3 linked regions of the Cricetulus griseus genome follow. The protein of the gene in region 2 interacts with the protein of the main gene of each other region in a biochemical or structural test. Links are inferred from orthologs where the notes say so. Each region holds a gene or a part of one and is shown on either strand. Other genes may lie near its edges.

The links.
Region 1: the proteins of Abl1 (region 2) and Rad51 form a complex in vitro, tested with the Homo sapiens proteins (2 studies listed by BioGRID). The link is inferred for Cricetulus griseus from reciprocal best matches to the Homo sapiens genes ABL1 and RAD51.
Region 3: of the proteins of Abl1 (region 2) and Rin1, one has a biochemical effect on the other in vitro, tested with the Homo sapiens proteins (2 studies listed by BioGRID and IntAct, with this or other methods). The link is inferred for Cricetulus griseus from reciprocal best matches to the Homo sapiens genes ABL1 and RIN1.

What each region holds. Positions count from the first base shown.
Region 1 is NC_048599.1:59,357,610-59,361,207, reverse strand, and holds part of Rad51 (DNA repair protein RAD51 homolog 1), read left to right. Parts: intron 1-3,123; coding exon 3,124-3,237; intron 3,238-3,598.
Region 2 is NC_048599.1:143,528,111-143,531,757, forward strand, and holds part of Abl1 (tyrosine-protein kinase ABL1), read left to right. Parts: intron 1-126; coding exon 127-279; intron 280-1,749; coding exon 1,750-1,839; intron 1,840-2,304; coding exon 2,305-2,469; intron 2,470-3,177; exon of another isoform or gene 3,178-3,647. UniProt on the Homo sapiens protein: Non-receptor tyrosine-protein kinase that plays a role in many key processes linked to cell growth and survival such as cytoskeleton remodeling in response to extracellular stimuli, cell motility and adhesion, receptor endocytosis, autophagy, DNA damage response and apoptosis.
Region 3 is NC_048596.1:54,230,204-54,234,428, reverse strand, and holds the end of Rin1 (ras and Rab interactor 1), read left to right. Parts: coding exon 1-58; intron 59-156; coding exon 157-308; intron 309-1,100; coding exon 1,101-1,553; 3' UTR 1,554-2,200; coding exon of another isoform or gene 2,201-2,327; 3' UTR 2,328-3,723; downstream 3,724-4,225. UniProt on the Homo sapiens protein: Ras effector protein, which may serve as an inhibitory modulator of neuronal plasticity in aversive memory formation. Can affect Ras signaling at different levels. First, by competing with RAF1 protein for binding to activated Ras.

The sequences.
Region 1 (3,598 bases), about 84 Mb from region 2:
ACAGAACACTGTATCCATAATAAATAAATCAATCTTTAAAAAAAAAAAAAAAAAAGATTCCAGCAACCCCCTCCTCCCAAAAAACTACTAAAGATGAGAAAAACCTCTTATTTTAATGTGTATATTTGTATAGGCATGGACATTCTTGTGTGTGTCTGGTGTTCGTTGGAGGCCAGAGGACAACTGGGAGTCAGTTCCTCCGTCTACTGTTGTGGGTTCCAGGAACTGAGCTCAAGTTTGGTGCCAGTCATGGAGCTATCCTATTTGCCCAGAAGAACATTTATAATTAAAAGATCAGTTCATCAGGAAGACATGATAATTAATATAATTAAGATTTCTTTTTATTTTATATGTATGAGTACTGCCTGCATGTATGTCTGGGTACCGTGTGCAAGGATTACATATGGAGGTCAGAAGAGGGTGTCAGATACTCTGGAATTGGAATTGTAAATGATTTTGAGCCAGGAGTTGGTGGCGACACAAGCCTTTAATCCTAGCATTTGGACACAGAGACAGGTGAACCTCTTTGAGTTCGTGTGCATGCTAGAAACTAAAGCCAGGTCCTCTGCAAGGGCAGTAATTTGTTTTGGTTTTTGGTTTTTTTTCCAAGATAGGATTTCTCTGTGTAGCCATGGCTGTCCTGGTACTTGCTCTGTAGGCCAGGCTGGCCTTGAATTCACATGGGTCTGCCTGCCTCTACCTCTGCCTCTGCCTCTGCCTCTGCCTCTGCCTCTGCCTCTGCCTCCTAAGTGCTAGGATTAAAGGCATGCTCCACCACCACCTGACCCATTATCTTTAAATATACAAGACTACATCACTAAATTGAAATTGTTTGGAATCTATAGATCATGTCAAAATTCTAGCAAGTTTCTTTTCTTTTTTCTTTTTCCTTTTTTTTTTTTTTTTTTTTTGCAAATTGACAAACTCATAAAACTTACGTAGAAAAATGTGGGGGAGATTGTTTTGTATGTATGTATGTGCACCATAATGTGCCTAGTACCTTCAGAAGCCAAAAGAGGGCATTGGATGTCCAAAACTGGAATTTGGTCTATATTCTGGTTGTGAGTTGTTGTATAAGTGCTGGGACCTAACACCTAACATTGAACCTAAGAGCAGCCACTGTTCTTAACCACTGAGCCATCTCCAGCCTGAGGACTCAACTTAAAACTCATTATAAAATGACAATCATCATTACAGATGATAATGACTTAGAAACAGATAAGCAGCTAGGGATATATCTCAGTGGTAAAGTGTCTAGCTTACATGGTAGAATGAGAAAACAGAGTCCTGTGGGTTGTTCTCTGACCTCCACACATGTGCCATGTAGTGTGTACAATAACATGCAAAATATTTTTTTAATTTTTAAATTTAAAAGGTATTTAAATGAAATCTAATGGACTCTAATTCTTTGGGAGCTTGTGTTCATGATTCTATCATGATAAAGAGTATTATCTTGGGGTTGGGAGTCAAATAGTATAGTAACTGGATATATATTTTCTGCATTTAAATCATGGCAATAAAGGAGGAAATACATATAATAATGCTGAGTATGATAATGTATACCCATCATCCAGTATTGGGGAGGCCTAGGCAGGGGAATCTTGAGTTCAACATCAAGTGGGGTTAAATAGACTGTCTCAAAGAAAACCAGGGGCTGGGCATAGTGGCACATACCTTTAAGCCCAGTACTCAGGAGGCAAAGACAGACATCTGAGTTCAAGGCCAGCCTGGTCTAAAGAGAAGTTCCAAGACAGCAGAGCCAGAACTACACAGTTCAGAAACCTTGTCTCGAAAAAGAAAGAAAACAAAAAGGGGGGAGCGTATAAGCCTATAATAATGCCCAATACTTGAAGGTGGAGGCAGGAAGATCAGGAGTTCTAGGCCAAACTCAGCTACCTAGGGCATTCAAGGCCATTTTGGACTAAAAGAATCTCTCAAACAAGGTAGGTATAATAATGCACTCATAATCCAATCACATCAGGGACAGAGAAAAGAGTTGAGTTTCAGGATACCCTGGACTACATAAGAGTTTTAAGCAAGTCCTAAACAACCAAGGTCTGGGCATGTTAGTACAAGTCTTTAATCCCAGCAATTGGGAAACAGAGGCAGGTGGATCTCTCTGAGTTCCAGGCTAGTCTTCGGAGCAGGTGGCAAAACAAGTTTTTATGTCCATTTTTTTCTTCTCTGGTGTTAAGATTCAAGCCAAGTTTTAGAAGTGCAAAAGGTAGAGAATTAAATCTATTTTAGATGTGAGGGGAAGCTGGCAAAGTATGGTATGGCATCTTAGGCACTTGTTATGCAGCTGCTCTGGAGACAGAGTCTTGAAGATTCCTAGAGACCAGGATTTGGGGGCTAGCCTTGGAAACATAGTCATACACCCTCTAAAAGAATTCTCAGAAAAAGTTTTACAGAAGCCATTTAGCTGAGTCCTCACAGATGAATGATCAAACTTAACTGCCTTCAAAGATGGAATTTCTCCTGTTGTTACATATTTAATAAGAATGAAATTGTTGGACCAGGCATAGTGAGGCATGCCCTTTCTTTAGTTCTACCACTCCAGGCATAGAAGGCAGATGTCTGAGTTCAAGGCCAGCTAGTGAGACAACATAGTGAGGCCCTAAAGAGAGAGACTGTCTTACTTGAGCCACCTTGAGCATTTATGTTTTAGGTAGCAGTTACAAAGTTAAGAAAATACAGATCATTTGATGAAAGTAGATAATTTGCTCTTTTTAGATGCAAAAGAAAACAATCTTTGGGACATAAATATTAAGGTGTCATTCATGTACATAACTAATGTTTGAATGGGTTTTTTTTGTTTATCCTAATTCTGCCTTTAGTTCTTGACTCTTCCAGAATATTGTTACCTCATACTTCAAAATTTCTCATTGTAGGTAGGAGGTCAAAAGAAGAAATTTATCCTTAGGTCTTGCTTCTAGTCAATAGTTAATGCTGTCATCTCTATAAATGGTTTGCCTGTACCTCTAGTAGAAAGAGAATCATATTTATGGGTCCTGAAACCACTGGGAACGCTATCTCTTATCTCTTTGGGTAGTAGAAATATTAGGTATTAATTTCACATGTCCTGAGTTTTTTGTGTCTGAAACCTAAAAATCTCTTTTCTAGGTATGGTCTGTCTGGCAGCGATGTCCTAGATAATGTAGCATATGCTCGAGGGTTCAACACAGACCACCAAACCCAGCTCCTTTATCAAGCATCAGCCATGATGGTAGAATCCAGGTATGTATTCAATAAAAGACATTTAAATGTATCCCCATAGCCCTTTCCTGAATCTGCATAATAATTTGAATAGAAATGGGAGACATTTAAATTTTAGGGATTTTAAGAGGGGGCATTGTTTGGTTTGTGGTTTTTGTTTGTTTGGGTTTGGGGAGGTAGTTTAAGACAGGGTTTCTATGTGCAGCCCTAGCTGTCCTGGAACTCCACTCTGTAGAACAGGCTGGCCTTGAGCTCAGAGATCCATCTGTCTCTGCCCCCCAAGTACTGGGATTAAAGGTGTATACCAGTATTGTCCAGCTTTGTTTGTTTTTAATGTAGTGATTTTTTTTTGGTTTGTTTGTTTTTAAGATTTATTTTTACT
Region 2 (3,647 bases):
GTACGGTTATGTTCCTTATCGAAAAGGTCTTTAGGCTTGTGAGGCAAACACTTTACCCACTGTGAGTCATCTCTCTGGCCAACACCTCACATACCCTGATGTCTTCCTCTCCCTTCTTTCTTTCAGCATTTGGAGTATTGCTCTGGGAAATTGCTACCTATGGCATGTCACCTTACCCAGGAATTGACCTGTCACAGGTTTATGAGCTGCTGGAAAAAGACTACCGTATGGAGCGCCCTGAAGGCTGCCCGGAGAAGGTCTATGAACTCATGCGAGCATGTGAGCCTCCCCAACCCGTTCAGAAAGTACATATGGGCCCTGAAGAAATTGCAGTGGTGCAGGTCTGCAGAAGGCTGTTTCAGTGGGCCCTTGGCACTGTTCCCATACTCCCAAGCCACTCATGGAGTCTGGCTTTTGTGTGCCTGTCAGGGCATTTATTTACAGATACCATACATATGAGTTGTTTTTCGTTTGCCTTTGAGAGGGATATTTTTTGATTTGTTTCTTGTTGTGGATCAGAATCTCACTCTGTAGCTCTGACTGGCCTGGAACTCATGGTGACTCTCCTGCTTGGACCCCAGGTTTTCGGGTTTTAGGTGTACACTGCTGTGCCTGTGTGCTTTCTTTTCTTTTTATTTATTTTGTTTTTCGAGATAGGGTTTCCCTGTGGCTTTGGAGGTTGTCCTGGAACTAGCTCTTGTAGACCAGGCTGGTCTCGAACTCACAGAGATCCGCCTGTCTCTGCCTCCCGAGTGCTGGGATTAAAGGCGTGCGGCTCCATGTGCTTTCATTTTTTTAAGCATAAAAGGATCAGATGAATACCAAACCTGGGTTCTTATTAGTAGGCAGATTCCTGGTCCTGCTTCCACACACCTGGCTGTAAGTGCTCCAGGAGATGGAACTCTAGTGGTGTTTATGTGAGTGTATGTGTGCATCTATCTGCCTGTGGTGTGTGTCTACACATAGTCTTATCGTCTGTGTTCATATGGTCACTCCCTCACCTTTTTCTTCTTAGAAGTGTGTTTGAGACATTGCTCCCTATTCATATATTTTGATTTTCCTCACCCTGCTCCCCACCTTCAATACATCAGGTGTTTAAAACTTCTACTCATCTGTCTTCTTGTGATGATTTTTTGGCTGTTTCACACATTTACTTTTGTTACATTTTATTTATTTGTTTTTGTTTGTTTATGTAGTTGTATATTCCACAGTATACAGCTTGCAGGAGTTAGTTATCTTTTTCTACTATGTGGATCCCTGGGATCAAACTTGTTATCAGTCTTGGCAGCAAGTGCTATCTTGAGGGTCCTGTGTTTGCTATAAACAAGGCAGAGATAGACTCTTGTCCAAGGTCACTATACTTAACCTTGATATTTCTAAAAGCTGGATTGTTGGTGCAGAGTTTGTTTTATTTTGTTTTAGGTTTTCAAGACAGGGTTTCTCTGTGTAACAGCTCTGGCTATCTCAAAACTTGCTGTGTAGACCAAGCTGGCCTTTAATTCTCAGAGATCTGCCTGCCTCTGCCTCCTGATTGCTGGTATTAAAGGGATGCACCACCACCTCCCACCTCTTCTAAAATTCTTAACATCTGTAATAGGACACAATAGCATTGGCAGTTTAACTTGCCATGGCATTAGCAGTTAGCAGGCTTGGAGTGCCTCCATCATGTCCAGATCGTTCCTTGGGATGACTAGCCCTGGCTTGATAGCAGTGCTTCCCCCTGCTCTGACATGGGTCTTTTCTGTCCAGGTTGGCAGTGGAATCCCTCTGACCGGCCCTCCTTTGCTGAAATCCACCAAGCCTTTGAAACCATGTTCCAGGAGTCCAGTATCTCAGATGGTAAAGTCCCTCCTGGGAGCATGCAGTGGATTGAAAAGTTGGATTGGGGCTAGACAGGCCTTTAGTTCATTCCTGTAAAAGTGCCCAGGCCAAGGGAGAGACAGAACTCTGCGCAGAGGCTGGTCCTGTGTCTCTGGAGTTACACAGAGTTCTAGAAAATGCTGTGCTCTTTCTTCAGCATTTGTCCCTTTTCCCTAACTGCATAGACCTTAAGAAAAGAGAGTCCTGGAATCTGGAGACAGCTCAGTGACTAAGAGGACTCAGGCTCAGTTCCCAGTACCCAAATGGTGGTGGCTCACAATTCCAGTCCCAGGGGGTAAAACACCCATATGCACAAACACACACACAAAAAAAAATGATTAAGAAATATGTATAAAAAATTAGAAAAAAGAAAGGAAAAAGAGAATCCCTTTCAAGACGGCACCTTTGCTGACAACTGCTGGATTGTGTGTGTGTGATCCTTAGAAGTGGAGAAGGAGCTGGGGAAGCGGGGCACGAGAGGAGCTGCTGGCAGCATGCTGCAGGCCCCAGAGCTGCCCACCAAGACCAGGACCTGCCGGAGAGCTGCAGAGCAGAAAGACGCAGCTGATGCCCCCGAGCTTCTCCACATGAAAGGCCTGGGAGAAAGCGGTATGTCCATGCCTTCTCACCCTTCAAGCCAGGGAAGGCGAGCAGACAGTTGTCAGTGGAGCTGGCAGAGAACAGCAGACCCTCCTCAGTGGTCCAGCTCCAGGGAAGGGGATCTACCTCTTGCCCAGAGCTGCCATTCTCCCCCAGGGAGCCATTCAGCAGTTGCTTAGATAGGCAAAAAACTGGGATGCCTGCCGAGAAGCAAACCCACCTTTCCATGTGTTCTTCACAGTGCTGTGGGCATCTTCCAGGACATACATGGCAATAAACAATGTTCAGCCAAATAGAGCAGCCTGGGAGTCACTCATTGTAGGCTTGGTCCCTGGGCCCAAGCTGGGATCCCTGTAGTTTCCGGAGTGTGTTTTTGCACTCTTCTAGGTTTAGTGAGGGCAATGCAGCTGGGTCTGGAAGTGGCTAGAGATATACAGGGATGGTATTGGCAGCCATGTGGGGAGTTTCCTGCATGCCAGCTATGTTCTGAGTACTGCTGGACCAGCATCTGACTCTCCTGCAGACCCACTAAAGTCTGTTTTTGAGGGTGGTGCTTGAACTCACAAAGGCTCCCAGGGGCCCCCAGCATGGGCTGATGGGCCATGGGTCTAGTTGAGTGCGACCAGGCAGGACAAAGTTTAGCTGATAAGGATTCATAAAGGGTATTTACTCAACAGAATCTATAGTTAGTTTTTTTTGTTTTTTTTTTTTAAACAGATGTGCTTTTAACCCCAGACTCACACTGATGAGAAGCTGAATGGTCAGACCCACACAACACATAAAGTACTTTAGGGACCATCCTAGTCAGCCCTGGCTACTGCTGCTGACATGAAACACCATGGCCAGAGAAACTGGAGAGAGAAGGCTTTTTTAGCTTTTGCTTCCACATCACAGCTCATCATCAAAGGAAGTTGGAACAAGAACTCAAACAGGGTCCAGAGATCCACCTGCCTCTGTCTCCCGAATGCTGAGGTTCACTTCTCTCAGATGACTTTAGCTTATGTCAAGTTGACATAAAACTGTCCAGCACAGGGACAATGCACACAAGTGCCCCACATATGTGTTTGGAAGTTTTCCTGAGGATGTGGCTCAGCAGTTGTGCTGAGGAGTTGTCAGGACCTGAGTTCCAATCTGCATAACCCATGTACTAGCACACATCTGTAACACCAGCTTTCCTGCAGAGAGAC
Region 3 (4,225 bases), on a different chromosome or scaffold from region 2:
CTACTGGAACCTACCCTGCTCACCGGAGAGGGTGAGGGCACCCTCACTTCCTGTCCAGGTGGAACTGAGGCTTCTTAGTCGCTAGCAGGTCCTGAGCAAGTAAGGAAGGGAAGGCAGGACGCCCTACTCCAGCCTGAGCTGTACCCTGTTTCCTAGGCGGCTACTACCTGACCAGCCTGTCGGCCAGCCTGGCCTTGTTGAGTGGCCTGAGCCAGGCCCGCGCTCTCCCACTCAGCCCGGCACAGGAGCTCCAGCGCTCTCTGGCCCTCTGGGAACAGCGCCGCCTGCCGGCCACCTACAACTTCCAGGTAAGGGGCCCTTCCACATGTCTACCCCAACTGGCCGCGATCAGAGAGACTCTGACATCACCCAGCACCGTTCCTCTAGCCCTGCATCAGCCTACAATAGAAATAGAGGCCCATCTAAGTATCAGAGCAGCCCGTGTAGGGAATGTGTTTCATGCCACAGGCACTGGGCTTTGAGCTCCAGGGCAGCTCCTTGAATCTTCACAGAAACTCTGAAGTAGGGCATTGTTTGCCCCATTTTACAGATAAAGAGGTAGAAACTGAAGTGGAGCGTGAGAACTTCTTGGTCCCCAATACCAAACAAGGTTCTACCTTCCTTGTCGTCAAGCTTCCATCTATGCTCCCATTTGGGCCTTGGCCAGGGTGCACTACCTTGAACTTCAACCTTCTCAGTCTTGCTATGAGTCTAGACTTTGTAGCTATACCTTTGCCCCAGCTCTATCACTTTTTTTTTCCTGTGCCTTGGTTTCCCAGTCTCTAAAATGGGCATCTGGGCTGCCATGAAGGTTAGATGCACTGGTGAATGTTGGGGTTAGCAGGAAGTAACTAGCCCCAGGAACAGTTAGAAAGAGCCCTGCACACAGTGGACCCACCTCTTCAGGATTCTGAAGTTCCCTCTGGGCTGGCCGTGCACCACTAGCCCAAACACATTTCTCTCTGCCCCAGTGTCCCCTTGGAGCTCACGGGGCTCTTGTCACCCACCCCACCCTCTTCCTGCACAGCTTCAGCCTGTCCCTTCTGCTTTGGAGGTGACCACCCAGCATAGCTGAGGGCTTGTTCTTGTCTTCTGCACAGCACCTCCTCCGAGTAGCCTACCAGGACCCCAGCACAGGCTGCACCTCCAAGACCCTGGCAGTACCCCCAGGGTCATCAATTGCCACCCTGAGCCAACTCTGTGCCACCAAGTTCCGAGTGACCCATCCTGATGCATTCGGCCTCTTCCTCTACAAGGACCAGGGCTACCATCGTCTGCCCCCTGAAGCCCTGGCCCATGGGCTTCCTGCAACTGGCTACCTCATCTACCGCCGTGCAGAGAGGCCTGAGACCCAGGGGGCTGCAACAGAGAAGGCAAAGGCAGGCAGTGAGAGGCAAGAGGCGGGAGCATGGGAGGAGGAGAAAGGGGGCGGGAATAGTGAGGGAGAGTTGGAGACAACTGTTGACCAAGGAGGAGGCGAGAATCAGGCCAGAGGAGGTCGTGTACAACCAGAGGAGCAAAAGGCAGAGGGAAGCCAGGCTGCAGAAGAGTAGCCAGAAAGAGCCAAGAGGGTCACCTGGGCCTCCAGGAGCCTCTAAATATGCTCTTCCCAGCTGCCAAGCTTCCTTCACCACCCACACCCAGTTCTCTGTTGTGTCTGCCACTGCCTCTATCTGATCTTCATGAGTCCACCTGCTAGGAAATGGGGGCTGGACACATAGACTAGGGCAAGTTAAGAGAGTTAGGAGACTCCAAGACCCTGTGTCCAAGGCCCCTGGCCTGTGTTCCTCCCTAGTCCACAGGGATAAATGTCCCTGGAAAGGAACAAAGTCATCCAATAGCCAACTCCAGCATAGGAGGAAGGGTGTTCCTGGCTTCTTTTGCCTCTCGTGCTGCCCATGGGCACAGGCAGAGTTGCTGGCATTTCAAGTCCCTGAACAATTCCAATCGCTCTTAGTTCCAGGGGCCAGGGTGGCGGCAGAATGACAGCAAAGGTCCCCAAACAGCTCTCCCCTGGTCTGCAAAGAGGGGATATGAGTACTGTTTTGCAGGGCTCCAGGAGTGATCCAGGCCCCACATGGATACTTGGTGACAAAGACTGGGCAGGTGAAAGGGAGAACAGGACAGGTGTTAGAAGCCACGTCATTCTTTAGGGCGCCTGCCCCCACCAGGCTGGTCTCATCTGTGTCTTCTTCCTCAGTCAGTTCAGAGACTGCACTGGAGATCAGGTCACAAGAGAGAAAGCACCTATGTTCCAGCCTTTTTTCAAGATCAGAAATCTAGTGAGGCACTTCAGTATTTCTGGGAAACTGGACCCTGGGAAGTAATGCCCACCAGCAGGAAGAGAAGTTTCCAGAACAGAGAGCGGTGCTCCACAAACGTTGTCTTTGTACTCCTCTTTTGGGGCTCTTGCAAAAGCTTGACCATAAGGCACAGCACAAAGCTTGTGGGCCCACTGCAGGTAATTGCCAAAATGTCTTAGCAAACTACCCCTCAAGGCCAGAGGGAAGCCAGCTGCAAATCTGAGCAGAGGAAAATGCCCACCAATAGCCACAAGAGGGCATGCACAGCCTAAGAAGCTACAGAGGGTGACACACACACCCCTCCCGGCCAGGGTGGGGAGTATGGATAATGAGAGTTTAAGAGCCATAAAGTGTAGGCAGTCACTGGCTTTATACTCTTACAGCTATTGACAGCCTGGAAAATGCAGGGCAGAGGCCACTTGCAGTCAGAGATTCTTAGGGAAGAATTGTTTCCAGTATCAGAGGCACTCTCCTGGGCCTCAGCACAAGGACACCAGCTCACATGCCATGCACGATTACCAGGAGGTAGAAGTGTGGACCCTGACTTTCAGACCCACATCTAGCCAGTGTAGGTCTCCAAAGTAGTCACTAGGCCACCAATGTTCCTTCTTACCCACTTGCATGCCCCTCTCTCGTAGGGGAGAGTGTATGAGAAGGGGCAAGCCCATCTGGTATCTAATATCGAGCAGAGGGAGAAGATGGTCCCAGCTCCTTTTGCCTCTCTACCACCCAGAGGCATAGACAGGGTTTCTGGGACTTCACGGCCCTGAACAACATGGCCCTCTATTCCATGATATGCCCTCCCTCCCTGCAATGCTTTGTACAGGACAGAGCACTCCACAGGGGCTCAATAAATGGTGTCCAATGACTGAAGCTTGATAACCAGCAGTAAGGGACTGGGGTGGGGTGGGGTAGGAAAGCTGTTTCTGGGAATGAGACACAGGGGGTGTGGCGTGCAGTCCCAGGGTAAGGACCTGGAATGTCTGAAAAGGATGCTCAGAGAACCCCGCAGGCAGGATACGGAGCTGGTCTCATGGGAACCAAGACTCTGGGACCTCCATAGGCCCTGCCTTTTGTGCTCAGTTCTAATTCTGGGCTTTTAGAGTTCAGTGCAGATCCAGCTATGGCTTAAAGAAGCACTTCTGGGTCCTGCCTGCTGTCTGAATTTTTTTTTAAAAAAAAAAATCTGATTACCTACCAATCCAGGCCAAGTCAGTACGAGTACAATTTGGGATCAATGGAAGACTAACCAGGCAGAGTTGGTAGTAATACAACAGTCTGAGACTAGTGTGTCCATCTTATTTTTCTCCTCCCAATGTCTCCATTTTATAAACAAGGAACCTGAGGCCTTCTTCAGGAAAGTGGCTTGTTACAGACAGAAAACTCAACATATACCTTCCAGAGAGAAGGAATCATTTAATCATACTCTCAACAATCAAAGCCAGGCAATCGGAACACACATCTGTAATCCCAGTACTTGGGGAGCTAAACAGGAGAATGAGGAGTTAAGGGTTATCCTTGGTTACCTAGTGAAAGCCAGCAAGACCCCATCTTAAAAAAGGGGGGGTGAGTGGATTTTGTGGTATAGAGACAGTTCTAGGTGCTGTGATCTAGGGGTAACTGTGAACCACTGCATTCCAGGGAACTCTACCAATGTCCTAGAGGTCAAGGCTCTGAGATGTGCTGTCCCTTGTCCAGTGACCACTGCTGCAGTGCAGGATGGGGACACTGGTTGGGTGTCTTGAAAGCAGACATGTCACTTCCTTGCTTGGCAATGTTGTATTTGCCATTTTAAAGTCAGGGCGTCGGTTTGTGTGTGTGTGTTTATTATCTGTCTTCCCAGTGGCATGACAGAGCCATACTGGCCTTCTTCCCAGCAGGCCTTCAAGGACCTAGAACAATGCCTGGGCCGGAATTGGCAC